2 separate regions of the Mus musculus genome follow, and region 2 is reported to be linked to region 1. Evidence: microRNA targets listed by miRTarBase, many of them from high-throughput screens and not tested one by one. Region 1 holds a microRNA gene; the other region holds the end of a gene's coding sequence.

The links. Region 1 holds the annotated microRNA mmu-miR-5128 (CAAUUGGGGCUGGCGAGAUGGCU, at 7,984-8,006, shown strand). A microRNA usually pairs through its seed, bases 2 to 8, with sites in the 3' UTR of a target mRNA and lowers its output. Matches are read on the target gene's strand: a 7mer-m8 pairs with bases 2 to 8, a 7mer-A1 pairs with bases 2 to 7 and ends in A, and an 8mer does both.
Region 2: the mRNA of Tspan13 is a reported target of mmu-miR-5128. Seed matches in the 3' UTR shown: 7mer-m8 at 6,553-6,559.

The regions. Positions count from the first base shown.
Region 1 is chr2:37,679,832-37,696,217 of GRCm38, reverse strand. Mir5128 (microRNA 5128) reads left to right here and starts at 7,934; the gene lies at 7,934-8,017. The region is part of intron 1 of Strbp (spermatid perinuclear RNA binding protein); the gene reads left to right.
Region 2 is chr12:36,004,922-36,021,307 of GRCm38, reverse strand. It overlaps Tspan13 (tetraspanin 13), which reads left to right. Exons shown (of 6, transcript NM_025359.3): 5 at 705-818; 6 at 5,536-6,753. The coding sequence ends at 5,610. Among named protein-coding and RNA genes, the nearest start is that of Agr2, 20 kb to the right of the region's middle.

The sequences.
Region 1 (16,386 bases):
GACTAACAACATGAGAGGGTCTCTTTTTCTCCTACCATGCAGGAGCCAAGGCTTTCAGATCATCAGGAGGCAAGGAGAGCCTTTACCTGATGAACTATCTCTCTAGCCATGTTTTTTTTTTTTTTTGGTAGTGAGACAAGGTCTCATTCTAGCAAATCTGGAACCTACTGTGTAGCCTTGATAATTCATGGTAGCCTTGAATCATCCTGCCTCAGCCTCCTGAGTGTTAGGATTACAGAAATGAGCTACCACATCTGGTTTTGATTTTTGTTTTTGAGGAGACAGGGTCTCGATACTAGGCTGGCCTTGAAGCTGGATTCTCCTACCTCAGTTTCCCAAGAAGCTGTCATTACAGTAGTGTGTGCTTGCTGCCTTTCCCTGCTAGCCGGTGTTCATGTGTACTTGTGTCTGTAGTTCAAAGAATTTTGAAGCTAATCAATCAGCACACTGACTTACTGGCTTTTGTGCAGCGTAGGCCATCTACATCTTAGCCTTTTGAGGTTTTAGATACTGAATAGCTCTGAATTACACATCTATGGGTAACTGGTAATTTCAGTTAGCAAAGCTAGTGAACTAAAGGGAAAGATGGTTTAATTTTTGTGTAAGCTAGCACTAGGGAGAATAAACAGTGTAAGCCATCAGTGTGTGTATCTCTAGTTTTTGTGAACTGTGAGGTCAAGGTTAGCATGGATGAGTAGATACCACATGTATTAATAATGAAGGCTTTAAATGGTGTTTTATCTGCTAGCTTTTTGATAAACAGAATTATATAAAAATCAGCTATATTTGTTATAGATTTCATATTAAAAATTGGAAAACATCCTCTAGTTTACAGTTAGAGTGGAGATTAAAGAAGATACTTGTTGTGATGGGAGAGAAAGTTCAACTTTTAAGAATAGTTGTTCTGTAGAGAGAAGATCCAGGCTTGGTTCCCAGCACCTACATGATGGTTACCATCTGAAAATGGCCAGTTCCTGGGGAATCCAGTAAGCTGTTTTGTGAACTCTGAGGGCACTGGGCACTGGGCACACATGTGGAAGTAGGAAAAATACCAAGACATATAAAAATAAAATCTAAAAATAAAAAAATTTATGTTATGAAACATACAATGCTTTTATTTTATTGTTTTTTTTTTTTCAAGACAGGGTTTCATTATGTAGCTGACTGTCCTAGAGCTCACTATGTAGACTAAACTAGGCTGTCCTTAAAGTTGAGATTTGCCTGTCTTTGCCACAAGTGCTGGGATTGAAAGATGAGTGCTACCACCATCTGGCTATAATGTTTGCTTTTAAAGGAAGAATTAGGTACAATATAAGTTAAGGTCTGAGAAGCAAACTCGGGGCCTCTGGAAGAGTAGCAAGCACTTTTAGCTACTGAGCTGTCTCTCCAGCCCCCAAGTTTAATTTTTATTTTACCTAGTAGCAGCATTTGGCATGGTGGATGCCTTGCCTATGGAGGTTAGAAGAGGCTTTGAAATTGAACCAGCATCCTCTGGAAGAACAGCCAATGAATGCTCTTAGCTATTGAGCCATTTCTTTAGTCTCTGATCTCATGATTTTTTAAAAAAATTTTTTTTATTAGGTATTTTCCTCGTTTACATTTTCAATGCTATCCCAAAAGTCCACCATACCCACCCCCCCAATCCCCTGATCTCATGATTTTAAGTGCCCAACTTTTCTTTAGCTTGGAACTTTGGGCTTCTTATAGCCCACTGCCAATGTGATATTTCCCACTTACATGCCTTCCCTCCCCCCCAAAGACAGGGTTTCTCTGTGTAGTCCTGACTGTCCTGGAACTGGAACTCACAGAGATCTACCTGCCTTCTTCTGAGTGCTGGGACTAAAGAGAATGTCCCACCCACTGCTTGCTTACGTGCTTTATTGACTTTTTTTTTTTAAGATTTATATATTTATTATACGTAAGTTCTCGTTACAGATGATTGTGAGCCATCATGTGGTTGCTGGGATTTGAACTCAGGACCTTTGGAAGAGCAGTCGGGTGCTCTTCTTACCTGTTGAGCCATCTCACCAGCCCCACTTTATTGACTTCTTAAAGTGAATTTTTTTCAGACCAAATTTCCAACTTTTGCCCAATCTTTGATAGACTATAAATCTAGCTAATTGATTTTGAAGATTTCTGCTAAGTTACCTGAGTGGTCAGTGGTTCAACTTATTTCACTAAATCTGTTCCAAACTTGCTCCATAGTGTAAAAACAGTTCATATATTTTCAGTGGCTGGATATAACTCTGAACTCTCCTTTACTGCTGCTTCACTGGCTATAGGTATCTAAGTAGTGTCTGTCTTATTTGAAGTCAGATGATGAGAATCCTTGACTACTTTGTCAATATGAAGTTACTGCTTATTTGAATTAAAAAGTTTGAATGATAGGCTATATATATTCCTTTTAAACTAAAAGTTACACTTTTTTTGTGATAGGCTATATATATTCCTTTTAAACTAAAAGTTACACTTTTTTTTTTTGTTTTGTTTTGTTTTGTTTTCGAGACAGGGTTTCTCTGTATAGCCCTGGCTGTCCTAGAACTCACTTTGTAGACCACGCTGGCCTCGAACTCAGAAATCCACCTGCCTCTGCCTCCTGAGTGCTGGGATTAAAGGCATGTATCACCACTCCCGGCCAGGTTACACTTTTTTATGTATGTGTGTGTTTGTATGGGTGCCCTTAAGCATGGTGTGCATATGGAGGCCAGAGAACAGAGTAATCTATTCTTTGCTTCTACTATGTGGGTAGTACTTCTTCTACTCTGGAGACCTTTTTTTCCCAAGTGCTAGGTAGGATTACAGGTGTGCCTCACATATGCAATAGATTCTTGACTTTCAGTTAAGCATGCTCCAGGCTTAACCTCGCTCAAGCTTCTGATTTACAAATACAAAGGAGTAACCCAGGAGTGTTCTTTTCTTGAAACCTCTCATACTTTCAGGAGAGGTTTTCCTTATTAAATCTATTTTCTTTGTTTTAAAAAAGAAAAAAAAGTTAGAAATAAAGACATTTGGATCAGAAAATCTTCATGACATATCACTAGCATTGATAATGTTGAAAAGCAATAAATATTTTTCCTGAAAAGTCATTTAAAATGAACACATACTTAGTACATTCACATGGCCAAGCAAACTTTGTTATGTAGTTTGAAAACACGTCTGTTATTTTAAGGTAAAAAAAAATTAAGCAGTTTAAACCATTAGAATTATTAAAAAAAAAAAAAAAAGGAAAAGAAAAGAAAAAGCAGGGTGTGATGGCACATGCTTGTAAACCCCAGATCATCTGAGGCAGAGGCAGGTGGATCTCTGAGTTCAAGGTTAATTTGGTCTGTATAGCATGCTCAGGCCAGCCAGGGCTACAGAGTAAAGTACTATTTCAAACATGAAATAAAACCAAGCAAGTAAACAAACAAATTTTGCAAAGTAAAGGTGACTGTTGGAAGTTTTGTATTAGAGATTATCCACTTTTGGTGCTTTACTGCTGTCTGATACTTTTAAGGAATAAAGAAAATCTTTCATTTGCTATTTAATAGTGGATGTATTATACTTGTAAAACTTTATAGAAGAGTCAGTCATATTAATACTGATAGCAGATATGCATTGTGCGTTTCTCAGTCTTTACTTTTTCAGAATGATTACTGTTTCCCAGAGGAGAAAACTAAAGCTTCAATAACTCCTGATTGATTAATTTCAGAATTAAAATCTATATGAATTTGCCTCAAAAAGTTGAGTCTCTTTACTAAACCTGGGAGTGAGATGGCAAAAACAAAAAAATGGAGGAGTCATCCTGTATGGGGGATTAAGTAGTGCCTTAGAAGATGGTGTGTTTGCCTTAAGAGCTCCTCAGACCAGGAGGGAAAACAATATAGGAAGCAGCTGTCAGAACTCTTATTAGTCATTAATATAGGAATAAGAAATTTGTAGTGTAGTGTCTGAGGTTTGTTTGCAGACATTATCCACCCTGCCCCATTTATGTCTAGTGACTGTTATTTAAGTTACAAACTTAAATAAGTTTATATACAGAGTGCTTAGAGTAGACTTACCAGTATTGGAACTTGTTTCCAGATTTAAGATATTTATTTACATGTGGGTAGGCTAGAAGACAGACAGCCTCAGATAGAATCAAGAGATTTATCCACTTCCTCTAAGATGATTTCTTATTGGTCCAGAGCTCATCAATTAGGCAGGACTAGTTGGCCAGTTATTAACCTTAGGGATCCATCTGCCTATTTCTCTGTAGTGCTCAGATGACAAGCAAGTGCCACTATGCCTAGCCTAGCATTTTTTTTTTTTTTTCTCCTCTGAGTTCTAGGGATGGAACTAAGATCCTTGCATTTGGAAGGTAGGTGCTTTTACCAAATGAGCCTCCTTAATCCCTCGAAGAGTTATAGTTCCTATGAAGAATCGGAACAACTATTTTTTAAAAACAGTCTTTGGGCTGGAGAAAGAATTAACAGTTACGAGTGCTTGCTGTTTTTTTCAGAGGACCTGAGTTCAGTTTCAGCCCCTGTGCTAGATGGCTCACAACTGCCTGCAGTTACTTGTGTATACATACACACACACTCTCACATGGATTAAACTAGACATGCCCTCATACTGTGTTTTGAAGACTTTCAAAATAACATTTCTAGCCTTGTTTTGTATGTGTTTTAAGAATTCTCTTATTTTTAAAATTTGAAAGAACTTCTCTCTCCCTCCTTCCCCCAATTCCTCCTCCCTCCCTCCCTCCCTTCCTCCCTCCCTCCCTCTCCCCTTCCTTCCGTCCCTCTTTTATGTAGTCCTTCCTGGCCTGGAACTCACTTTTGTAGACCAAATTGGCCTTTAACTCAGAGATCCTTTTGCCTCTACCTCCTGAATACTGAGAGTCAAGACTTGCACCACCATGTCTGGCAAGAACTTAAAAAGAAAAAAATTATGTGTGTGTATAATAATTGTGTTGAATCCCCTGGTTGTAAGCTGTCTGAGGTGGCTTCTAGGAACCAAATTCTAGTTCTTTATAGAGCGGTTAGTGCTCGTAACCACTGAGCCATTTCTTCAGCCTTTAAAAGAACTTTTAGTAGGTTTGTTTTCACCTATTCTTCTGAAGCTCCTTGGTAAGTCACCCCACAGAATAGGCAGTTGTGTAATATGCTTCAGTATACAGGGTTTGGGGTGAAAAAGGATATAAGAGCTTCCTGGATCCTTTGGATAGGTTTTCTTTTCCTTAAGATTTTATTAATTTTATGTGTGTATTTGCCTGCAGATATATGTATATATGCACCTTGTGCACATCTGGTGCCTTCAGAGGTTATAATTTCCTGGAATTGGAGTTAGGGTTGTTATGAGATCCATCCTTGTGAACTCTGCTTCTGTCTCCTGAGTGTTGGGATTAAAGGTGTGATCCACCATGCCAAATTGTAAATTGGATTTTTGAGGCAGGGTCAAGATTATTCTCAGAATTGTGGTGATCCTCCTGCCTCATCTTCTGTAGTTCTGTGATTACAGATGTTAGTTGCTATGCCCAGCTTTCACCTTCCCCCCCAGGGTTTCTCTGTGTAGCCTTGGCTGTCATAGAACTCTGTGCAGACAGACTGGCCTCAAATGGAGAGATCTGTAGCTTTTAGAGACAGAAAGCCTCAATTTTGGTAGTTTAGACAAAATCAACATTGCATAAACTAGTAAAACTTCACTTATACAGTGTCTTTACCCTTTCTCTCTCTTTTCTTTTCCCTCTCTTTGTTGTGGATGTGTCATTGTGCCAAATTCAGTTTCCTGCAGCTTACCCTTCTTTTCTCAAAAATATTTAGCAAATGTCTCCATGTCTGCACTGATAATTGTACATTTACTTCAAAGGATAATTGGTGTTAAACAAGCTGATGAGGAGGCATTTGCCCCTTAGACCAAACCCTATATATAATTCAGTGATAACTGTATCATGGTAATGTTGTTTACCACCCTTAGAGATGTCTCAGTGATCAGGATGCCCAGCCCCCCTCGCTACCACTCCTTTTTTGAAGTAATTTATTTCAGTTTATGTTTCTGAATATATTTATGTATACCATGTATGTGTGTATGGAGGCCTCAAGAGGGTATCAAGACCTCTGGAATTGGAGTTACATATAGTTGTTAGCTCCCATATGGATGTTGGGAATTGAACCCTGGTTGTCTGAAAGAACAGCTAGTGATCTTAACAGCTGAACCATTTCTCCAGCTTCAAGGATACCCAATCTAATGTAAAAGAAGGAAAGTTTGGTTGTTTGGAATGAATGAAAAGTATATACTTCATGGTAATCTATTTTATGATAGTGATTAATGATAAACCATGGAAAGCTATATTCTGGCCTATTAATTTTCTCATTAATATTATATATATATATATGTATGTGTATATATATATATTTTTTTTTCTAGTTCAGCAAAACATACCAAAGGCCTTTTTAAAATTGTGGGGTTGAGGTTATGGGAAATCAATCTAAGAATATTAGCTGTGGAGGAGACTTTGGAGATCAACCAGGCTACCCCCCCACCCCCCACCCCCCCCTTTTTGTTTTTTTTAAAGACTTTATTTTATGAGTTCACTGTAGCTGTCTTCAGACACACCAGAAGAGGGCAACAGATCCCATTACAGATGATTGTGAGCCACCATGTGGTTGCCGGAGATTTGACCTCAGGACCTCTGGAAGAGCAGTGCTCTTAACCCCTGAGCCATCTCTCCAGCCCTTGGCTAACCCCCTTATCTTGTTGATGAGAAAGCTGTTTCAGAGAAGTAGTGGGTTGGTCAAGGACATAGAAAGTTAAGTGAAGGTTTGATTTCTCGAATCTGTATTGATTTCAGTACAATGAAGGTAACTGGTAAAAGTAGAGAGCCCTGGACTCTGGAGTCACACAGACTTGATTTTAAGTCCAGATTCCACTGCTTATTCCCTGTGGCCTTTGGCAAATAAATCTGTGTCTGTTTCCTGTTCTGTGCTACTTTGTGGGGTCCTGAGAATGAAGAGATAATGTAAATATAGCACTGTGCCAGGCAGGCATTTGATCAGAGCACAGTAAGTGCTGTCTGGTCTTTTTTTTTTTTTTTTTTTTGATTACTTAGAACAGGTCATATGGCTAAGTGATTGTTATCTTTATGAAATAGGATCGATGACAATGCTTTTATGTCAAAGTCCTTCACTGAAAATTTGAGTTGTTGGTTGATTGGAGGAGGACACTGCTCACTGCAAAATGGTCAGACATTTTTATCACCTGCTCCCAAATTGTATGGTGTCAACATACCTGTCTGTCTACCTACCTACCTACCTACCTACCTATCTTCCTTCCTTCCTCTTAGTTTTTTTTTTTTTTTTTCTCGGGACAGGGTTTCTTTGTATAGCCTTTGCTGTCCTAGAACTAGCTCTATAGACCAGGACGGCCTCAAACCCACAGAGATCTGCCTGCCTCTTTCTCCAAAGAGCTGGGATTAAAGGTGTGCATCATTATCACCTGGCTGTCATAGTCATTTTGTTTGTGTATTTTTATATTTTAAATTTTAATTTATTTTGAATTATTTTTATTTATTTATATTTTTGGAGACAGAGTTACTATATAACTGTCCTGGAACTTGCTATGTAGACCCAACTGGTCTTGAACTCAGAGATCTGACTGCCTCTCATGTACTTCCACGTGTGGATTCAAGCTTTTTTTTGGACCCTTTTATACTCTTAAAAAATTGAGGATCTTAAAGATCTTTTGTTTATGTGTTATTATTTATTGATATCTAGAAAGTATATACTGGAAATTATTTTCATTTTATTAAATGAATAATTAAAAAAATTTGTGTGCTTTTAAGAGTGCATGCATGGCCTTATATGACTATGGAGGCTGTTGGAGAACTCCCTGAGAACTGGAGTTAAGACAGTTGTGAGCATCCTAATGTGAGTGCTGGGATCCAAATTTTGGTCCTCATAGTTACAGTAAACATTCTTAATTACTGAGGTCTTTCTAGCTCCTGTTTTACTAATTTAAAAAGTGCAATTGGGGCTGGCGAGATGGCTTAGTGGTTAAGAGCACCCGACTGCTCTTCTGAAGGTCCAGAGTTCAAATCCCAGCAACCACATGGTGGCTCACAACCATCCGTAATGAGATCTGACTCCCTCTTCTGGAGTGTCTGAAGATAGCTACAGTGTACTTACATATAATAAATAAATAAATCTTAAAAAAAAAAAAAAGTGCAATTGATGGTGGGTGGCAGCAGTAGCTGTGGCGACTACAAAAAACAAACAAACAACAAAACTCAGGAAAATTGGGTGAGAAAAGTAGCAGTTGATTTTTACGTTTTAATTTAGTATAGCTTAATAGAAGATCTACTTCTGTGTTTAGTCTGTTTTGTTTGAAGTATGTGAAGATGAACAATTTACCTTACACAGATAGGTAGCTAGAAAAGACAGTTTCTCAGACAATTTTAGATAATTTAATACTATCTAGTATTTGAGAGATGGTAGGCTTTTAAGATTTATTTAAAAAAAAATATGAATGTTAGCCTTCAGGAGTTCATGACTATCATGTACATGCATAAGTCCTCAGAGGCCACAAAGAGGGCATAGGATCCCCAGGAACTGGAGTTATATATAGGTGGTTGTGAACCGACATGTTGATATTGGGAACTGAACTTAGGTCCTCTGTAAGAATGGTCAGTGATCTTAACAGCTGAGCCCAGGCGTTAGTTTTTTTTTTTTTTTTTTAATATTATTTATTTACATGTACAAAACAGATCAAAGTATGGATATTATCAAAGTCCAGCTTGGTGAACAAATGGGCTTTATTGGAGTTACTTACAGGAGCAGAATTGACTCAGAGTCAGCTGCATCATCAAAGCCCACCCCAGCACAGGTGACATTTTGCAAAAGCTGGGAACCTGGAGCACATTGCACAGCCTGTAGATTACTCAATAGGTTTCATAGTGTCCTTTCCAAGTAACTCTTGTCTAAACCTTGTCTAAGCAGCTCAGCTGGTTTCTGCGACTTTTAGGCAGCTGGTCTGGTCTCAAGAGTCTTTGCAGCTTAGCTTCTCAGAGTCTGCTTTGCACCACAGCTTCTTGTTTAAGAGTGACTTTAAAGTTTTTATTGCTTAATCTGGCAGGGAGGGGCCTAGTGAATCTGGTCAGTTTCAGGGACTTCCTGAGGCTATTTTGAGTTGTTTACTTTTCCTGTTTAAAGAGCTGCTCAGAAGGATGGAGGAAACTTATACTGTATCCTAGCATTAGAACACACTCAGGGGCTGTTACAGTTCTTTTTCAGATCAGTAGTATCTCTGATACACTATTTATACAAAAACATGTAGGCTTCTTAATATTTTGGGTATGTTGAGGTACTGTGCTAATCTACTTCATGTATATTGCATATCTATGGCATAAACCTCACCATTAAGTAACAAAAATATTTCTGTTTTAATAAATAACACTGAGGTGTGCAATGGCTAGCTGTTCAAGTTACTTCTGAGAGAGAACAACAGAAGTAGAACTGGGAATTATATCTATTCTGTTCTATTTTCACGATTGCCTTTTTACTATTTTTTTACTTAGAGAATAAATTGAAGGAAATATTTTTTGGATTGTAATGGAAGTTTTGCTGTTTTTGAGGGATAGCTGTGTGTGGGAACATGTTAATTTTAAACATACCAATTAACTTAATTCCAAGGCTGGATGCTTTACAATATCTGTCCATCCATCTCTACATCTCTACTTGTGTATAAATGCTCTTGTGGAAGCCAGAGAACAACTTTTGGTAGTTGGTTCTCTCCTTCCACTATGCTGGTCTCAGTGACTGAGCTTAAGTTGTCATGTCTGCTTGTATGTACATCCACTGAGCCATCTTATTGGCTCCTAACACTGGTTTCAAAAAAGTTAAAAGGTGCTTAATTCATTACCTAAGAAAATTATGGTAAAATGGTAATGTTAAAAAAATTTGAGAGCCGGGCAGTGGTGGCTCCCGCCTTTAATCCCAGCGCTTGGGAAGCAGAGGCAGGTGGATTTTTGAGTTCGAGGCCAGCCTGGTCTACAGAGTGAGTTCCAGGACAGCCAGGGCTACACAGAGAAACCCTGTCTGTAAACAAACAAACAAACAAAACTGAGATCTCTTTTCAAAAGTGACAGCATAGAGTATTTATAAGGAGCAGTTTGTAGGCTTATACAAATGTTTTTTTAGGCCAAGCAGTCCCATCTAGTAGCTTTGCCTCTTGATTGAATAATATGGTTATAGTCACATTTGAAAGACTATTGTGGCTTACAAAGCTTGAGGAAAAAACTCATTTGTACTGGCAGTCAGCCAGTATTTTATAGGCTACAATTTTCCTTAGAAAAACTGGTGGTTTGTAGCCCCATAATTTGTGGTTGTTCTGAACTTGTAAAAAGAGTACACATTTAAAAATGACCTTATTACTTTAATATTTTAAGTGACATCTAACTGTCAGATATTTGTTACATTATATTATTTATTTAAATAAAATTTCCTGGCTTGACAATCTCCTCTAAGGCAATAATTTATGTAGCATGATTAGGTCCTCCCATCCCCCATTCCCAACAAACCTAAAAATCAAAAATGCTTTCAGTAAAGTCACAGGCACAATTAAAGTAAAAAAGATGTGTCTGTGTTAAATCCTGTGTTGGTAAAATCCTTGTAGAATCCCTGAGATCTCATTACGTACCCACTGCTTCCTGGATGTGTTGAATTAAGTTGTGGTATGTGGTTTGTTTGGGTTTGTTCAGTGTTCTTCATTTTTAAATTTCTCTCTCTCTGTCTCTGTCTCTTTCTTTCTGGCTTTTTCCCCCGAGGCAGGTTGTTGTTGGTGTGTGTGTGTGTGTGTGTGTGTGTGTGTGCGCGCACGTGCGCGTGCGCGTGCAATTTTGGCTGTCCTGGCTCAGTAGACCAGGCTGGCCTCAAACTCAGAGACAATCTGTCTCTGCCTGGCAAGCTGGCATTACACTACCACTGCCCAGCTGTTTGTGTTCTGCTGCCGTCACTGTTGCTTTCTCCCCACACAGATGGAAAAGAACACCATACCTGAAATACACACTTGATATTCATGAAAAATACAATTTTAGTGGTTGGTGAGATGGCTCATTGGTTAAGAGAATACTAGCTGCTCTCTTCCAGAGGCCCTGAGTTCAACTCCCATCAACCATGTGGTGGTGGCTCACAACCATCTATTATGGGATCTGATGCCCTCTTCTGGCATGCAGGTGTGCATGCAGATAGAGTGCTCATATACATAAATAAATAAAACAAACAAAAAAAGAAATACTTCCCCTTATGTACTTTATTGTAATGGTTGTGTGTTAAATTTATGGGAATAAGTCCTTTTGATTTTAGGCTAACCAAATGGGGTATAATATCCTTTCTGTTTGAAAGATTTTGACAAGTCAAATTAATAGTTCCATTTTTATGTCCATGGAGGTATCTTCGAGTCTTTTTGTTTTTTGAAGACAGATGAAATTTGTAATTAAGATTTTAGCAAAAATATTAGTAGCTAGATCTTTAGAAACTGTTGATAAGGTCCAGGGTCTCTCTCCTCACCAATATTGTCTAGGCTGACCTTAAACCCTGGGCCCAACTCATCAATTCTCAGGGTTTGAGAGTTTGCTTTTAAAATGTATTCTATACTCTCTAGCTCTGGGGGCTACTCAGTCTCATTCTTGATTGAACACTGGAATTACTTGGAAGATTGGAAAACCACAGATGCTTGAGTTTTGCTTTTCTTGAGGGATTGTTATTTAATTGGTCTAATATTATGGTATCTAAACATTTACAGAGTTTATAGGTAATACCAATGTGAATCAGAGGCTGAGAATCCAGTTTATAAGCCCGTTTAAGGGGGAAATACTTGATTTCAGAGGATATATTATCACCTTTAGAATTTACAAAAGTTTTATTTTTGAGATAAAGTGTCACATGCTGTTACATAAGAAATTATAAGTCCATTTTTGTGATGTCATCATTTTAAGAATGTTACATAAATGGAATCCTTTAGTATAGTGGTTTTCCAGCTGTAGGTCCTACCTCCTTTGAGGTCAAACGACCTTTTCACAGGGGTTGCATATCATATAACCTGGATACCAGATATTTACATTAGGATTTATAACTGTAGTAAAGTTATAGTTATGAAGTAGCAATGGGATAATTTTATTGTTGTGGTCACCACAATATGAGGAACTATATTATAGGGCACTTCACATTCAAACCACAACAGTAACATCTCTAATTCATAAAATTTATTGGGCTCTGCTGCTTCTACCTCTACTGGAATATTGAAATGGAATTATACAATTTTGAAATTATATGCAATTGTATACAAATCAAAATGGAAATATGCAATTTTCTTTGTTTTTTTTTAGACAGGGTTTCTCTGTTCTAGGTACTAGAATATAGTGGTGAATAAGATAGACATGATTCCTTCTCTCTCTCTCTCTCTCTTTCCTTTATGGTTTTAGAACTTTATTGGAGAGAAGGTAGAAAGAGAGAGAGACTGGTCATGGCCATGTGTGGGGGGGGGGGGAGGGAAAGAGGAAAGAGAGAAGGAGGGCTAGAGAGTAAGAAAGATGAGGGCTTAAAGAGCATGATTCCTTCTCTTACTGACCTTAACATTCTAGTGGAAGGGAGGCAGGAGAGCCCAATACATACAATGTATTAGTGAGGTACTATTGTTGTTTGAATATGAAGGGCCCTCCATAGGCTCATGTATTTGGACACTTGGGTCCCCAGCTGGTGGTGCTATTTGGGAAGTTATGGAACCTGTAGAGAGTTGAACTTTAATGAAGGAAATATGTCATTAAGGGCAGGCCTTGAGAGTTTATAAAGCCTGTCCTCATTTTCTGCATTTTCTCAGCTTCTAGACAGCTGATACCATGGGCTGGACTCAAACTCTTGATGCCATGCCTTCCTTGCTGTGATGGACTGTATCCCCTTTGGAACTGTAACCCAAATAAACCCTTTCTCCAATAAGTTGCTTTTGTCACACTATTTTATCACACTAGCAAGCAAGTAATTAATATAGTTACTGTGCTTGTGGCAAAAGTTACCAAAAGATAAGGATGTAGAAAAACAAAATTTAAGTGCTTTCTGGAAATGGAATGGAATTTTGTGTTCAATATTGATAATGCTGACTAGGAGAAGAACAAATGGTAGTGAAAAAGTAGGATGTAATTTGTTAGAAAATGAGCTTAGTGATACTTGCTTTGATCTCTTCATAAAGTTACATCCTGTGGGGTTCCTGTTACTCCTCCACCAATTCATTGACTTGATAATATTAAAGAAAATGAAGGGTTCTTTAGGTTTTAATGTGGCTTGAAAAAATGTGTGTGTGTGTGTGTACACACACGTACGTACCTACTTACATGTGGAGGTCAAGTGTCTTCATCACTTTCCTTATTTTTAGAGACTATTTCTCACTGAATCTGGGACTTATTTTTTCAGCTGAACTGGCTGCCAGTGAGCTTCAGGTATTCATTTGCCTTTCCTCCTCCATAGTTGTGTGTATTATAGAAATGTGCTAACACTCTTGTTTTTTATGTGAATGTTGAATTTAGGTCCTCAAGCTTGTGTGGCAGGCACTTTTACTGACTAACTTACCTTCCCAGCCTTCAGTTAATATTTAACACTAAAGTGGTTTTATTTAGAAAGCATCACATGTAGTCCCAGCACTTGTAAAATTGAGACAGGGATTGAAGTTTCAAAGCTAGCTTGAGATCAGTTGGGGCTACGTAATGAGAACAGACTGACTTACCTGGTATCTTATCTCAAAAACTAAAAAACAGGCTGGAGGGAGTCATGGTTGATTTGCTGCTCTTATAGAGAGCCTGGGTTTGTTCCCAGAACTCAAATGATGACTCACAACCATCCATAACTCTAATTCCAGGGGATCTGGCACCTTCTTCTGGTCACAGGCACCAGGCATACACATGGTACACATACATACATGCAGGCAAAATACCCCAATACATAAATAGAAACAGCCGGGCGTGGTGGCGCACGCCTTTAGTCCCAGCACTCGGGAGGCAGAGGCAGGCGGATTTCTGAGTTCCGAGGCCAGCCTGGTGTACAAAGTGAGCTCCAGGACAGCCAGGGCTATACAGAGAAACCATGTTTCGAAAAACCAAAAAAAAAAAAAAAGAAACAAAACAACAGAAAAAGCATCAAGATGTAGTATATGTATAACTCTGGATCTGACATACTGCTGAATTTGGTGTAAGACAACTGGAGTGTAAGACATAGATCTTACTTTCAGTTAACTTCTGTGTGAAGAGAAGTCCAAAAGAATAATTGGAGAAGATTTTTGTGGAGGAAGGTTTGAAGAGTGACTAGGACTTGAGAAGAACAAATGGCTAGAAACAAAATAGGCTTCTGGTAGAAGATCTGGTTTGAGTGAGGACAGTTATTTACTAGTTCTGTGACCTTAGAAGTCCCTTAGAGTCCCTTGATGCTTTCTTTCCTCTTTCTTTTAAAAAAAGATTTATGTGTATGAATATTTTGCCTGGATGTATGTATATTCAACCATATGAGTGCCTGGTGCCTGGAAAGGCTAGAAGAGAGCTTTGGATACTTTATTAACATATTTAATAATTCAGATACATAGTAGTAAATCACATTTTCATGACTTCTTTTTCTTTTTTTTTTAAGATTTACTTATTTTATATATGTGAGTACACTTTTGCTCTCTTCAGACACATCAGATTCCATTACAAATGTTTGTAAGCCACCATGTGGTTACTGGGAATTGAACTCAGGACCTCTGGAAAAGCAGTCAGTGCTCTTAACCACTGAGCCAGCTCTCTAGCCCATGACTTTTCTTTTAAAATTGTACACGGTTCCTAGTTCATCGCTAGGCTGTAGGTGATATATTACTTTACTGTTCTTAAAAGAATGGTAAATCCCAGCACTCGGGAGGCAGAGGCAGGTGGATCTCTGAGTTCGAGGCCAGCCTGGTCTATAGAGTGAGTTCCAGGACAGCCAGGGCTATACAGAGAAACTCTGTCTGGGGGGGGGGGGGGGGAAGAATGGTATAACAGAAAGATGTCATTGGTCTTCTCTCAGTCATAAGCCATATACATTCATTCACAAGACATATGCTGTTGTAAAATGTATGCTATTGGGCCTAAGTTTTGGTATGATTGCTAGTAAAGTCAGAATACCTAATGTTATCAGTTAGACTAGATGTAATATAGGAAAAACACAATAGATGGCATCATACTAAGAAAATGTGTCATGCTGTTTGTTTTTAGAGGCGAAAATGCATGAATATGTCTGCCACTGCTGCAGAAATTTTATCTATCATCTCTATCTATCTATCTATCTATCTATCTATCTATCTATCTATCTATCTATCTATCTATCTATCAGTCATCTATTAAGACAAGGTCTTCTTATGTAGCCTCAGCTGGCCTAGAACTCGGAGATGCTTGTCTCTGCCTCCTCAGTGCTAGGGTCAGAGGTGCCTGCTACCACACTAGACTTTTGTTTAAATTTAGAAAAATTACTGTTTTGTGTATGCCCCCTCCCCACATATGTATGTGTTTGTGTGTGTGTGTGTGTGTATGCACATGCACTACTTGGATGCCTGGTGCCCAAGGAGGCCAGAAGAGGGAGGCCAGTCTCCTGGAACTGGAGTTACATGTAGTTGTGAACCACTATGTGGGTGTGGGGAATTGAATTCAGGTCTTACAGAAGAGGAGCCAGTGCTCTTTTCCTTCTTTCCTTCTCTGCCTCCCTCCTTCTGCTGGTTAGTTTTAATTACCAACTTGACACAAGGTTGAATGAATCACCTGTGAAGATACTCTTAGGGATTGTCTACCTTGGATTGGCCTGTGAGTCTGTTTGAGATTGCCTTAATTGTTAATTGATATGACTCATCCCATTGGCGACATTCCCTAGACAAAGGGGTACTGAACTCTTCCAGTAGAGAAATTGAGCTGAGCCCAAGCAAGTGAGCATACATTATATTAATTTCTCCCCGCTTTTAACTATGCATGTGATATAACTGACTGCTTCAGACCCTTGCTACTGGACAATAATCTGCAATTGTAAATTGTTTTAGTACAGAAAAAAAAAAGAATCTAGGACTTTTTTTTTTGAGTTTTTATGACAGACATGTCTCTTGTGGCTTTCCTGTTGTATATGTGTAAATTACTGAACTTCTGTTGATTTTATGCATTGTGATTTACTGTTAGAGGCAGTGTGAAAATTTTTTGGATAGTTTCTTCATATCTTTGGATTTCAACTCTTTTATAAATCCATGAACATATGCGTGATGCTAGGATATAGTTTTCTCTTGAAAACTAGTTCTATCAGAGTTCTAGACAATCTATGTAAAAATTGGGCTTTCCTGCACAATTCTGTTGACTGTTATGATTTGATTAAATAGATAGAACCTACGATATGCATCTTT
Region 2 (16,386 bases), not on the chromosome of region 1:
CTGTGAAGAGACCCCATGACTAAGACAACTCTTACAAGAGAAAGTGTTTGATTGGGAGCCTGCTTACGGTATGAGAGGTTTTCCATTTTCACTGTGGAGGGGAGCAACCTAGCATACAGGCATGTCCTGGAAAAGTAGTTGAGAGCTACATTTGGATCTACAGGCAGATTGTGTGTGTGTGTGTGTGTGTGTGTGTGTGTGTGTGTGTGTGTGTGTGTTGGGGGGGGGGAGGGGCTGGAGAGAATGAACCGACCCTAGACTTAGCATGGACTTTTGAAACCTCAAAGCTCCATCCCCAGTGACATACTTACTCCAGCAAGACCATACCCACTAATTCTTGTAATCCTTTCAAACAGTTCCACTCCCTGGTAACCAGGCATTTAAATATATGAGCCTATGGGGTGCCATTCTTATTCAGATCACCACAGCTGGGTATCACTTACAATGCAAGCAAGTTACTGGAGAATCTGTGGTACTAGACCAAAATCTTACACAAGGCAATCTAGACATCTACCAATCCTATCCCAGGCTCTAGAAGGGGACAGACCGATGGGTCCTACAGAGCATCTACAGGACTTGACCATCTCAGAAACTTGCACACAATTTAAAATTTATACCCAAACTGGATGGAGCACTCTAGGCCTGAATTTCGACGGGTTGTGAACATACGCTGAAGTAACAAGTCTTTCCTTTTATCGATACAGAGCTGTGCTAAAAGTACCCAGAAGTGCTCCTCGTGCGCCCCCATAATCGGAGAGTATGCTGGAGAGGTTTTGAGGTTTGTTGGTGGCATTGGTCTCTTCTTCAGTTTTACAGAGGTATGTAGCTGGACTTTGGCTACTTTGTGGGTTTTTCTTTCTTCGATCCCCCCCACCTTTTTTTTTATTTTACCCTTCTAACCCTCCAATACTAGATAGGAGAGAAAGAAAAGAACAGAGGAGAAAGGGGGTGACTTTGGTTTCAGACTTGGGACAAGCAGCTGAGGTGCATTTTTTACATACCAATGTGAACCAGGCCTCCAGGTTCTCCCAGCATCCCTCGGGCCCTGTCATGGCTGATACCCCGCCCTCTATGATGAACTTTGCATCCCAGGGGCTAGGCTTCCCCCAGAAGCTCCTCCCTATATAATCCAGAACTTTTTTTGTCTCCCTCCCTCCTTTCTCCCCTCTCTCCTTCTCCCTTACCCTCTCCCTGACCTTCTCTCTCCCTCCCTCATTCCCCCCCTCTCCCTCTCTTTCCCTATCTCTGCCCTTTCTTTGTATCCTCCCATCTGTCTCCTTCTCTCTGGCGACTTCCAGGCCTTATTGTTTGGGACTGGTGAACCTGCCTGAGAACTTCCCCCCAATGAACCTGCCTTTATACTTTAATTCAGCTTGAATTGGCTCATTTCATCAGAGAAGAATACCTATCAGTGACATTATCATTAGACTATTTCCTGCTGATCAGGGCATCAAGTTCCTTGGGGCAAGTTTGATCTTTGCCCTCAGGATGTCTAACTTTTTCTTCTTATCGTTTCTTTGTGCACAGCTACGTAACAAACCACAACCACAGCAACCAACAACCCACACTGCCTCTGGGGCCCTAGCATTTATATCCCCTCTGTAAAGTCCCTAGAATTTCAGATGTCATATACTCGCAGAAACTGTCTGCCGCTGCAGAACCATGCTTCCCCTCCTAGAGCATGAGGTAAATCATAGCCAGCTGCTGTGGACAGTCTGAAGCAGCCCCATGTCCCTCGCCTGGGATTAAAGCTCATACGGAGTTCAGTTTTGTATGACTAGAAGACAGAGCATTGTACTTCAGCATCAAACATGATACTCGAAAGGTATCAGTGCTCATCTTCCTTGAGATCACTTGGTGTGATGGGAGCACCCTTAGCTTAGAATCTGAACGTCTGAGAAATTTGGCATGAACTTTATGATGGGGGTGACATTCTTGATCTGTTTGGACCTGTATAAATTATAATAAGTGAAATCAGATTAGTGTGGAGTAACTCTGGACTTTTCTTTCTAGAGTTACACGATAAATTATAGTTAAGTTTTGTATTAAGGAATACGTGTTAATATATGTTAATTATATAATGTGTTAAAAATGTTAATATACGTTAACATATAATATATACACTATACATATTGCTTTTAAGAATTGCCTTTGTTGCCGGATGTTGGTGGTGCATGCCTTTAATCCCAGCACTCAAGAGGCAGAGACTGGTGGATCTCTTGAGTTGAGGCCAGCCTGGTCTAGAGAGGATAGCCTGGGCTACATAGAGAAGCTCTGTCTTGGGGAAAAAAGGCTGGTAGCTGAGGAAAATTGGGAGCAGGAGAGATGAGGTGGTCTTTCCCACATGGACTAATTGATTATCCAATTCCAAATGGGCAATCCTGAAACATACACAGAAATAATAGTATATGGATTAGGAAGGTTATATTTAGGAATATATATATATATATATATATATATATATATAAATGTATATATATGCATTAACAATTTTTTGAGGTTTTTGTTTTGTTTTGATTTTTGTTTTTCGAGACAGGTTTTCTCTGTATAGCCTTGGCTGTCCTGGAACTCACTCTGTAGACCAGGCTGGCCTCAAACTCAGAAATCTGCCTGCCTCTGCCTCCCGAGTGCTGGGATCAAAGGTGTGCGCCACCACTGCCCTGCAATGCAGTAACAATTAATGTAAGAAAATGCTATGAATTTAAAAGAGATAATATGGGAGGGTTTGGAGAGAGAAAAGAAGGAAATGAATGTATTATATAATATTAATAAAAGTAAAAATAAAAGAAGTGTAAAAATTATTTTACTTTCAACATTGAAAAATCACTGTGAAATTTTCTCCCATTTTCTTATTACTACCTTTCTAAAACCTACAGGTAACTACTGTTATTATTTGTATATGTTTATATTAAGTTAATATGTTTTACTAACAAGTAAATTTTATATATTTTTAAACAAAACCAGAATGCTGTACTAAATTTACAATACTGAATTGGTAATAAGTATCAAGACAAAATTTTGGTTTTGAGCTGGGGTTTTATTATATAGCCCCTGCTGGTCTTATATTCCCTTTTTCTTAGCCTCTTGGGTGCTAGTATTAAAGGTCTGATCTGCCAACAATTCTGTTTTAACTAAAAAAAAAAATCCATGCATATTACTTTATTTTATGGAAATAATTGTATAACAACATAAAATAGACACACAAGGCTATTTATAAGCAACTTTTATAAAGATTTACTTTTAATTATATATATGAATATGTGTCTATGTGTAGTAGGTATGTGCACATGAGTGTAGATGTCAGGGGAGGCCAGCAGGGGGCGTCAGGACTTATGGCTGTGGAGGAGCAGATGGTTGTGAGTCACTAGACGTGGGAAGCAAACTCCAGTGCTCTGCAGGAATACCAAGTACTCTCTTCACTGCTGAGCAGTCTCTCTAGCCTTCAGGGCATTATTTTTTTTTATAATATTTGGGTACCTTTTACTTCTTGACAATATGCTAGTTGGGTCAAGATGTCTGACATAGGAGCAGAACAGGAAGCAGGGTTGGAAACTGAGTGCACCTGCTTCCTAATTGTGGCCTCTGGAGCAAGGTAATCTTGCTAGCCCTCACATAGCTCCTTCAAATCTTCTATCTCAACCTCGAAGAATAACAACAGGCAGTCGCTTCCCGGTGTTATGACTAAAGGAGCCAGTGGTGTAAAACCTGGAATGCTTTGAGCAGTACTTGGTGTATGGGGGGCTAGTTATTGTTTTGTAGCCATTAATAAATTTATTAATATATGACATATTATGCCCTATTGGAAAAAAGACAGTGGGTCTTATTGACACATGAAATGTCCATGTCACACTTCTGTTTTAAATAGATAACAGAAGAGTATGAGTCAAATAATTCTTTTAGTAGAATTTGCATGTATAGCTATAGAGGCATAGTAGGCTACTTACAAGAGCAACATACGTCTTTACAAAATTGCAAAAATTCTGTTTTATATGGTTAGAATTTAACCATAAATGGATCACTTAATCTGTTGACCATTTGATTTTCTTTTTTAAAAATTACCTTTCTTCATTGAATGAGTGTTGGGGGGCAACATGCATGTGCCATAGTGGGCGTGTCAAGAACACAAGGGCATCCTCTGGGATTTGTTCTCCCATCCCCCCTTATAAATGGTTTCTGAATGGTGAACTCAGGCCATTGGGCTTTGCAACACAGGCTTCACCTTCCAAGCCACTTCACCCCACCTTTTAAAAAGTTAAACTTGTGTATTTACCTGGTGTGGGTGCACTTGTGCCAGAGTGCATGTGCGGAGGTCAGAGGACAGCTTTTGGGAGTCTGTTTTCTCCTTTTACCATGCGGGTCCTGGGAATGCATCAAGGAGCTTTGGTCATGAGGTTCTAGCCAGGACCTCCACCTGCTGAGTCAGGCAGATCACATAATTTATTTTGATGTATAAATATTTACACAGTTGCCTCCTGTGTGTGGAATGTCATTCCCTTCCACCCCACTTTCCCCTTGGGATGTATTTCTAGGTATAAAATAAGGCACAGTATGGGAATGGTCAAGAGATTTTGGTAAGCTGCGGTCGCTGATGCATGTCTTTAATCGTAGCACTTTGGAAGCACAGGCAGGTGGTTTGCTCTGAGTTCCAGGCTAGCCTGGTGTACATAGTGAGAGCCTCTCAAACAAACACACACAAACAACACAACAATAAATTAAATCCTGTCATCTGAGAAAAATTGACCAACATTTGATTTAATAACTAACTCTAGATAGTTTTGTTACTAAAAATATTTGACAGGGCTCAGGGATTAGTGGTGCCTGCTGCTTAGGACATTGTCCCCGAGAGGAAGATTTATGTTCATATCCCAAACTTGGTTCCCAGCACCCAGGTCAGGTGGCTCACAGTCACCTCTAACAGACACCTGTAACAGAGGCTGCAATGCCTCTTGGGGGCACTCCTACACACATGTGCACACACAAAATTAAAAACAATAGAGACAAATGCAAAAACCATGCAAAGTTCACATTTGGCTATTTATCAGAATGGAAAAGTTGAGCTTGCTTTTCCAACTTCACAAGTCAAGCTGCCGTGTGGAATGTGCCTGGTAAGCACATCTTATCCCTGTGTCTCTCCTGTGTCCATGTTGTCTCCTCCTCATCAGCACCACAGGGACTGCGCCTTTGAGCCCACCTCCTCCTTATCAGCACCACAGGGACTGCGCCTTTGAGCCCACCTCCTCCTTATCAGCACCACAGGGACTGCGCCTTTGAGCCCACCTGGATAACCTCTCCCTAACATGACCACACGTTCAAAGGCCTTTCACCTCGTACAGAAACATTTGCTGCAGCTTCCAGGCATGGGGAAGGAGCATGCAGTCTAACACAGTGTTCAAACTTCAGATTTGGTAGTGCCTGTCCTTTGATTTGCCTGAATCTTGTCTTTGCACACAAACCAAGCAAAAGGAACTCAGAAGTTTAATTTATTCTGTTCATCGACTAAATCGATTCAAAACTCGTTTGTCCTTCTAATTCCAGATCCTGGGTGTTTGGCTGACCTACAGATACCGGAACCAGAAAGACCCTCGCGCCAACCCGAGTGCTTTCCTTTGACGAGAAGACAAAGAAGACCTTTCCTCTGTTGATCTTGTTTTCTTTCTCTAATCTCAAATTAAACTAATTTGTTCATACGACAAAGGAAGCAGTATCTGAAAACCACATTATGTCAACGATGGAATTAAAAATTTTACTCTTAAGTTTCTCCAGACATTTTTTTTTTCTTTCCATTGCTAAAAAAGCAATCGAAGTTCCCCATATTCCCTGGCCCTCAGTGGTCCCTGTAATCTACTGTTGTTGGTGTCTGGCACTGTCCACCGTGGCCTTTCTTAGCATTTTTACCTGCTGTAAACTGTGTATGGCACCCCTGGGTAGATGATATTTGACCCCAGATCTTCATCTCACTGTCTAATTACCCAGAGCACTGGGGCTCCCACCCAAGACAGTTGATGTTTTATGAATCCAGAAAGGAAGAGACTCTGTTGTGTTCAGTTCATTAGGAGAAATCTATGTTCCTGATACTTTTTGCCTTTTGGAAAAGCTACATTGTAGTGAAAAGTGTTAGCACAGAAGTGATAATTTAGTTCTAGTAGTCTGTCAGGATTGCATCCCTGTGTTCTAGAAATAGCTGTGTCTTTAGGAAAATGAAATTTAGTTTTTGACCTTTTTAGTCAAGGGCAAAGGAAGATACCATTTGGGAAATGCTTTGGTGTGTAACATCTTCAGCTCTCAAAATGGGATGAATTTGAGGAAGATAGAGCATATATCTACATAATCTGATGTAAAAAAAAAAAATACGAAGTTCAAAACACTGTATATGTAAACAACTTGCCGTCAATACATTGGCCCAGGCCCATGTAACAAATAGATATTTGGTTATCTTTAAAAAGTAACTTTTTTTTTCAAGACAGGGTTTCTTTGTGTAGCCTTGGTTGTCCTAGAACTAGCTCTGTGGACCAGGCTGGCCTTGAACTCACAGGGATCCGCCTGCCTCTGCCTCCCAATTGCTGGGATTAAAGGCACGTGCCACCATCGCCTGTCAAAAAATAACTTTTTAATGACATTTCTTGGTATTGTGACAGCAAGTTGTCAAATCTAAATATATTTGAATGTACTACCTCCCATAAGTTGAGAGAGAAATGGTGTTTGTGGCTCTGTATATTACATTAAAAAAATAAAAGCTGAAAACCTTCCTTTGTATATGGGTGTTTAAATCAAAGAAGGTACTAGAAACATTGACAAGGCAAGTAGGCATCTTTCCTTCTGCTTTTCCATAGCCTTTTATTATACCTTAAGATGGTGTTTAACCAAGCCTTAGAAATACACCCCCAGTAATGATGTCTTTTGGAAGTTATTCCCAAATCCTTTCTTTTTTTTTTTTTTTTAAAGATTTATTTTATTATTATATGTAACTACACTGTAGCTGTCTTCAGACACACCAGAAGAGGGAGTCAGATCTTGTTACGGATGGTTGTGAGCCACCATGTGGTTGCTGGGATTTGAACTCTGGACCTTCGGAAGAACAGTCGGGTGCTCTTACCCACTGAGCCATCTCACCAGCCCAAATCCTTTCTTAAATTAAGAAACAATTTGTGTGTGTGTGTGTGTGTGTAAGTCAGAAGACAATTTGTAAGAATTGGTTCTCCCCACAATATGGGTCCCAGGGATCCAACTCCGGCCGTCAGGTTGGATGGCAAGTCCTGTTGCTACTGAATAATCTGCTGGCCCTCAAATGCTTTATTGAACAAGTTCATTGGCTAATGTTATCATCTGCATAATGAAAAAGGTGTTTTTATTTATTTGAAGAAGCCACTTCTATTTATATGGAGAGAGTATACACACATTCTTTTCCATTAGTGACAGTTAATTTCCTGTTGTGGTTCTGAGTAGAATGTGAAACATTATTGGTGATCGATAGTTTATACCAAGAGGTTGTTGGTAAATGGTACAGAGGAATGCACCTTGGGGCATCTGTGTCTCTGCTGCTAGTGAGTCTTACCCAGAAGCAGAACTGCGCTATTTCTAGGGTGTCATGCCGAGCACCATGGCCACCTGGGCAGAACTGCTTATGCTGTAAAACGAGAGAAGTGACTCATGAAAGGAGAGTGTTGAAGGCTTGTTTTCTTTCCTGTATTTTTTCTGTTTATTCAGCTGCAGATGAAAATACCCGATGAGGTTCTAAGGAATCCTAGCATACTCTTGGTACAAATGATTGCAAATGGAAAGGTGGTTGCACAGAGAACTCGCCTATAACTTGGTTTTTGCTCTAATTGCAATGGCCTTATTGGAATCAGTTAAAAACCAGGGTCTGAGGGGCCTGGGGAGACGTCTCAGCTATTAACAAGTCATCCTGCTGTTGAGGGAGTCCAGAGTTCCTTTCCCAGCACCTACCTTAATGCCTCACCATGGTCTGAAACTCCAGTACCTACAGGGGGATCTGATACCTCTGGACCCCTCAGGCCCCTGCACACTTGTGCATTCTCTCTCACTCTCTCTCTCTCTCTCTCTCTCTCTCTGTCTGTCTGTCTCTCTCTCCCTCTCTCTCTTTCTCTCTCTCTCTCTCTCTCTCTCACACACACACACACACACACACACTAGATTTGTTTTTGGTTTTGTTTTTTAAATTAGGATCTGTCCACGGGGAGCATTTTTGTTTGTTTTGGTTTCTGTCTTTTGAGATAGGGTCTTCCTATGTATGCCAGACTTATTTTGACCTCTTTATGGCCCAGGCTAGCCTCAGACCTATTGCTGGGATTTACAATTGCAGTAAGCCCATATAAAGACCACACAATCCAGTTATTCTAAGCTGTAGATTGGGCAGATGTAACACTATTCTCTAACTTATTCTCCAGCTATAAGACCCCTTGCAGTTTCCCCTGACCAAGTGGTTCTGCTCCAACATGGCTTCCTCCTCCTCCTCTTCCGTCCTCCTTGTGTTCTCATTCTCCTCCCTCTCCACATGCTGTCCTCTCTAAGACCTCCTGTCCCACCTTTCTCCTCCACTGCCCAATCACACGCTCTAGCCTTTATTGATCAGTTAAAACAGGGAGAAGGGTCACATGAGATCACCTGACTCGGGGCAACCCCTCTTGAGGAAAGAGAATTAACATCAGAATACAAACAGCACCAGGGCAGCCCACAACATTTCCCCCTTTTTGTCCAATAAAAAAGGCTCTTTTTTTCTCAGATATAAATTTAGTGCAACTATAACAATTATGCAAATTATAAGTTATATACTTAACATTCAGTCCATCATATTTGTCAATTTAGATAAAGCACTCTATCATATATCCTAACTTAAAACGTGTATAATCCCATGCCTGAATTATGTTGATTTTAACTTGTATTACCATCTGACATCCATCCCTTCATATCTGGAACTTCTTTAATGCTAAACAACTTAATTTCAGTTATGAGACTATAACCAGTCTTCAACTCATTCAGAGATCTGAGAAGGAATTAAATATTACCTAAATATATATGTAGGAAGCATAAAGACATAGCTTCCAAAATTATACAACTTATAGAGACAGCTGGCTGCCTGGAGTCCATTAATTTTATATAATGTTGGAGCATCTATCTTTATCCTTCTGACCCATAACCATTTGACCTTAAGTAAAACAGGAATTATGGAGGACTGGCTTACTCTGTCTTGGCAGAGGATAGCAGTCGACTACTCCACCTCTGGCCTATTTTGGACAGTATTTTTTGTCTGCAGATGAATTGGGGCAATTCTTGCTCAGTGGCTACCTTGACACAATTGAAGCAACTCCACATAGAGGTAATGATGCTTAATATCTTCCTTGAAGTGGAATGGGTATAGTATCAGGAGCATGCATATCTAGTCAAGTGATCTTTAGTAATGACATGACAGTAAATGCCATTATGCTGTGAATCTCTGACACGGTTGAAGACCATATATATATACGTATATATGTATATCATAACTGAATTGTCAAACATTGATTATTTTTAGCTACTCACTAATTAAATCTTGAAACCACTTGTTGCAATTAACTAAACTAGAATCTAATATGACCATAAGTCTCACTATTAACTTGCATCTTAATCATCCTAAATATTTGTAATACCAGTTATTAAAAGGACTGGGTCTAAGTCTTATAATCTTAAATGAGTTGCATAGACACAGTGCCTAACACAAAAATATTTTAAAATTTGTATCAATATACAAAGATTTATATGAATGAAAACCTTGAATCTGTACCAATATTATTCTGTACTAAGGTAAGAAAATATAACTTCAATTTTAAATCAAATATGTAAAGACTTATATCAGTGTAAAATTATGGCTATTCAGTTCTTTGTTTAAGGGTAAAATTTGTCCAATAAAAAGAAAAATCCTCAAAAGAATAAATTTAGTAATCCATCCCCATATATCTAATTTCTTGTAATGTTACTCTATTCTCCTTTTTTCTTTCAACCTCTTTCCCTTTACCTAAGTATGGACAGAGAAGTGGAATGGAAAGACAGAAAACCCAAGTCTAAGCTCTCGATTTAGTTTCCTCCCTGTCTAAAATTATGACCATTTCCAAATTATTTTTTTAAATGACAACCTATCTATAATAGGAATGATGACTCTCCTTGGCTTCTTCCTGCTGAATAAGGGCAGGAATATATAAGTGTGTGTGTGTGTGTGTGTGTGTGTGTGTGTGTGTGTGTGTGTGTGTGTGTGTGTGTAATTTTTAAGGGGTGGGGAGGGTTAGGAAAATTGGAAAAAACTCAGCTAGACTTAAGAAAACTAGCTTTAGCATCAGTTATCCAGTCTCTGTACTTGACTGAGGTTCTGACTGTCCGAGAGGCTGAATGTACCAAGGTCATCGGGACTCAACAGCTGTTCCCGAAGCTGTTATGGAAGCAAGTCTTTGGAAACAGCATCTGGAGCAGGGAACTTGAGCATCAGGTCATTTCAGCATCAGAGATGTATCTTGGTGTTTCATTCTGCAATATGAATCTTACAACCCGATTTTTAATACTATTACTTGTATGGATTGTGAAAGGTGCACAGAGCAGTTAAGGATGAATTTTTGCCCCTTGTTGGAGCAGGTGAAAGACAACTGTCTTTTTTATGAACTAATTTGATCAACAACTAATTGTAATAAATCTTCACTCATCCCATGTGAAGGATGGCATGATGGATCTTAAGGATTCTGTAACCAACAAGATTTATTGGTTAATTTTAGCTGAAGGTTTAGCTTAGGGACATTTTTATATCTAAGCCAGTTACAGGGCTGTTCCCATGTGGAGGAATCAGCAAATCATGTTACCTGTCCTGTTTGATCTTCTTGAATTTTTCTTTTCTGTCTGTAGCCAAGATCTTTAGGGGGTCTTCCCCTATCATGTGTGATCCATATCACTTTGGAAGGGGTCCAAAGCCTTTTCTTCTTTCCTGTTAACACAAATACAGGGCCTCTTCCCCAAAATAGCATGCCCTTGGTCCAGCAACCCAAAGTCATCAAAAATATAGATTGATTCAATTTAGCAGCTTCCTTTTTCTTTAAGTTTGCTCTATTTTGACCTCTCTTATAGAGGATTTGTAATGCTATAACTCGCAAACATAACTTTCTGCATTTTGGTAATTAAAACAATTCAAAGACATTACATTGCCATATGCCAGGCTAAGCAATCGCAGAATTCCTGTGGAGCCCATGTTCAAAGAACCTAGTTGCTTATAAAACATTGGCTTCCACCAGTTCCTCCATTTCATTTCTGTATTTTATTTAGATTTGCTTTCAGTGGTCTGCCTCTTCTGTTAAGGTCGTATCAGATAAACGAGGTCTAATATCAATTGTATATCTAATCCATTCATCTATTGGTGCTGACCTTGCCTGCATTCAACATTTGCATTTTCAAAAGCTAAAGACTCGATTATTGCCTTTCTTGCTGATGGAGCTGTTATACTGCTTTCTACAACGGAAGTTAACCTTTACAAAAAGTCAGGGAATGTTTCTTTTGGACCTTGCATGACTTAAGAAATTGGTTCAAGTCCTTTCCCTGTTTCTGTGACTTTGTCCTGGGCATTGAAGGCTGCCACGTGACATAATGTCAAGGTTTCTTCATCATAGTCAGCCTCAGCAAAACAACGTTCACCAAGCAGCTGATCGCTAGATATATTGATACCTCTGGCTTTATCTTGTCCTGCTATCTCCTTCACCTCTTCTCTCCACCATGAGAACTGGTAACTATGACCCAGGTTCTAATATTGCTCTTGTCATATCCTTCCAGTCTTGGGGGGACTATTCTATTTTTAATAGCCTAAGAAGTCAGCATTTATTTTACAAACAGGGAATGCACTCCAAATTTAGTGACACTTTCCTTAGATTTTTCTCAGTTCTAACATCCATGGGTTACCATTTGAATTCCTTATAATTCTGTGGGTCATCACCATCTTTGTTGGCCTTTGTAGTATACTAACCTAAGATGTGTTGTATCCAGACCTAACGTGATTCTCCTACCCATGTGCTCCCACACCCCAGGGTGAATCATTAGGACTATGAAATTGCAGGATTATATAAGTGAACAATAAATAATAAATGATTAGCCAGTCAGGACATACATTTTCAAGAGCTGGGGCTTCCCTGTCAAATGAATCTGGCTTTCTTTTTGCCTAGGTGGTGACTCTCCTAGGATGCTGCTGTGATCCCTTTTTGTTTCTGATTGCAGACAAACACCTGCCATTTCATGGTGTCTCAGCATCTACTGCAAAGCCCTTTGAATAGGTCCATTCCATTCCGTGTATGGCCCAGCTGTGAGCCTACAAAGGTCTGGCAAGGCTCCTGATGGCAGGGTGGGTACTGTCCATGTGGTCAAAATTCTGTCACAATGTGTGATGCCTGGGGCAGAGGAGTGGGGAATGTCGAGCTACAGCAAGTGGTTGTACAGCAAACCCTCTGTCCCTTCCAGCCAAACCTTGTAACTCCTTCAAGAAGGAACTCACTGCTTAAGCAGTTCTCTGATCCCTTGTTTACATGTTCCATTTAGAGGAATGTTCTTAGAACATTTGCTCAGTCAGCCTTGATATTAAAGGTGAAATTTTAGCTTGGGAAAATACAGCTAGTGCAGAGGAGAAAGGTTTGACTGTAATCTCTCACATCTGAGCTCACTGCGGGTGAAGTTCATCTCTGATACTTTGTGCTCTGTGGACAGCAGAGTGTTTGCTATGAAAACCAGTTCTGCGTGCTCAACCTGGAAAATACACTGCCAGATGGAATCTTCCAGAGAGCGAGAGGAAACCAGGCATTTCCTTCTTGGTTCCTTCGAGCCAAACCCTTCTTCTATGTTTCTAAATATTTGCTTAACCCTGCCTGAACTTATTCATCCCTTTATAAATACATTGACTATGTACAACTGTTTCATTAGTTAGCTGAGAAAGTACTCATTTCTACAGAGTAGTTTATAGGAAAAAAACTCATTGTAATTGTATAGGCGCAACTGCTCATGTAGGGATGGTTTTGCTTTATTGGCTATGACAAGGACATGAAAGACCAACTTTACTAGGCTTCTGGTTAGTGAGGAGTGTTATGCAGTCAGGGTTTGAGAAGAAGAGATGGCGAAAGGTCAGGGCTAGTCCTGTTGCCTTTTCTTTTCTTTTAACAATTAATTTTTAATTATGTGTATGTGTTTGTTTGTGCGTTATGTGTATGTCAGTAACGTGCCCACAGAAGTCAGAAGAGCGTGATAGATTCCGCAGAGCTGGATTATAGTCAGTTTTGAGCTGCCTGACATTTTCAGCCTTGCATTACAGTTTTTCTTGAATGTCCTGTTATATCTGGGCCCAGCAGCCCTTGAGCTATTTCTTTGAGACAGTTGCAAAAGGGTAAGTGGGAATTCCCATATCCAGCCACTTCTCACTACTCTCCTTAGGAAAACTAGCTATGATCTTTATTCTCAAATGAGTCCTGAGGGAGTTGCCGGAGTTTAAATATGTGTCACAGGATGGACTTTGCCATGTGTGTTGGGTGAAATTGCTTTTGCTTACATACAGAGTCTCATTTTTTTTTTCCTCAAAGAGGTGAGGTCATAACTTGGCAAGGGGCCTTCTATAAGATCACTTGATCACAGCTTCTTAAACTGAACAGAGAGAGTTCTGGTCTTGCTTAGAACCAGAACTTGCTTTCGTTCTCCCTGCCTGCCATTCTCAGCAGAGATAATGGCAAAACCTCAGTAGCTATATAAGATTACCAAAAGCAAGGGTAAAATAAACAGACCCAAATCAAATATGTCTTAGACGGTCATTTGAGCAAGATCAGTTCCTAAAAGTGTTGACTTATGGCTGGTCTATATCAACTTTTTTTTTTTCTTTTGAAACCAGGTTTTCCCATGTATCACTCGTGTCCCCAGAACTCACTGAGTAGACAAGGCTGACCTCCTATTCACAAAGATCTGCTTGCTTATTCCCATGTGCTGGGACTAAAGCCAGCTTTCTTTTTGCCCCTCTGGAAAACATTTATGTGACATCCAGGCGAGATAGTGCATGCCTTTAATTCTAGCACTTGGGAGGCAGAAGCAGGTGAAGCTCTGAGTTCGAGGCCAGCCTGGTCTACAAAGCAAGTTTCCAGACAGCCAGGACTACACAGAAAAATACTTTCTCAAAAACCAAACCAAACCAAATTCTCTCTCTCTCTCTCTCTCTCTCTCTCTCTCTCTCTCTCTCTCTCTCCTTCTCTCTCTCTCTCTCTCAGCAAATATATACTACAAAGGTTTTTTTAAACCACTATTAACATACAGTTCATGACATTAAATACATTTATATTTCCCAGTATCAACATCTGTCTTAGTTACTTTCTTATTGATGTGAAGAGACACCAGGATGAAGGTAATGCAACAGAAAGCATTTCATTAGGACTCACTCAGTTTCAAAGGCTGAGTTCCGAGCATCATGGTGGAGTACAGGGTACCAGGCAGGCAGGGGTAAAGCAGTAGGTGAGAGCTCACATCTCATCCAAGAGCTGGAGACCCGAGAGAGACTTGGCCTAGCATCGTCTTCAGAAACCTGGAAGCCCACTCCAGTGATACACCTCTTCCAACAAGGACACGCCTCCTAACCCTAAACAGCTTCTTCAGCTAGAGACCAAGTATTCCAATATACTAAGCTCTGGGGCCACTGTCATTGAAGTCACCACACTGTCAGTTCATTTCTACAACATTTTATCTTTGCAAACTTGAGATACTACATCCATTGAACAGTAAGACCTCCCCATTTCTTTGATCATTTCCCAGGCCTTAATGACCAGATTTGCTCTCTCCATGAGGAGGCTCTAGGCACCTAGGTGGAATTTTGGGAGTATCTGTCTTTTTTTATGGCTAGTCTGCTTTCCTTAGCTTACATCTTGTCTTCATGCTTCAGTCCCATGGTAACGCAGGCCAGGGTTTCTTTCTTCCTTATCATTCATGGAACAGTACCTCACTGGATATATGAGCTGCGCTTTGTTTATCCCTTTGTCCACTGATGGACAATTGGGTTGCTTTCATCTTTACCTGTTGTGAATAGCTCTGTGAGCATGGGCTTAGAGCTACCTGTGTCCTGCTTCAGTTCTTTTGAGCACATGCAGATGTGGATCGCTAGGTTGGAGTCTTAATGTGTGCTTAGTATTTTGAGGCCCACTGTCCTGTTTTTCGTACCATTTTGCAATCCCATAGCTATGGACATTTTCTTCAGCTTTTAGACATAATATTCTTCACACTTGGCTCCAGTCTTATAGTGATCTGAATTATTCTATTAGTGAAATAATATGGGTACATTTTTACTTGAAATTTGAGTGCAGATGGGAGATTATGAATGTCAGGAGTTGGATTTGGAAGAAAGAGTGGGTTTTACTAATGTTTCCGTGAGTGTAGAACAAGTGTTTTCAGACTGGACTCTCCAGCTCTTTTAGGTATTGTGCGCACTTATGTCCCGTAGCTATAAATATAAGATAGAAAGTCTTCTGCTCTTTTCATCTGATCTCTTCTGCTTTTCCATACTCATTACTTTTAAAAGAATTTCAGAGATTTATTTATATTTACTTTATCTGTATGAGTGTTTTGCCTGCATGTATAGGGTAATAACATCCACATGGTGTATCCTGTATGTAGGTATACTACGTGCATGCCCAGTGCCCATGGAGACCAAAAGATTGTGAGATCCCTTGGAATAGACTGTTGGGTGCCACCTTCTGGGTACTGGGAACTGAACTTGGGTCTTCTGCAAGAGCAGTAAGTGCCCTTAATCTCTGAGCCCCAACCATTTGTGTGTGTGTGTGTGTGTGTGTGTGTGTGCATACCTATCTCTCTGTATATGCATGCCATGGCTCACATGTGGCAGTCAGGGGACAACTTGTAGAGGTTGATTTTCTCCTTCCACCATGTGGATTGTAGGGATTGAATTAGATCCTCAGACTTAGCTGCAGGTGCTCTTACCTGCTGAGCCATCTTGCCTGCCTGTCTGATTCTCCCTATAGGAAATGCTTTCTCTTTTTCAGCACATGTAATTTCCCTGCTTGTGAGAGGCGAACGGATGCCCTTCTGGTATTTTAGCTTAGGCTTTATGTCACCAGGTCACCCACATGGGCTCATTCGGACTTGCCCGAGTCATCCCCGTGAGAGGTAGAAGGGCATCCTGGGAAAGATCGACAGTGTTAAAGCATTTGTTCAGAAAAGGAACTATTGAGTGAAGGCACCCACCCAAGACCATCGGGGGCCGGTAGGGGTGGGTGGTAGAAAGTCCACCTGATGATGACGTGGGATTTAGTGCAGTTAGGCAGAGTCAAGGTAAAGCAGGCAGAGCTGCCCCACTGCCAGAAGCTGTGCCTCCTCACTGCTCCAAACAGCAGTGAC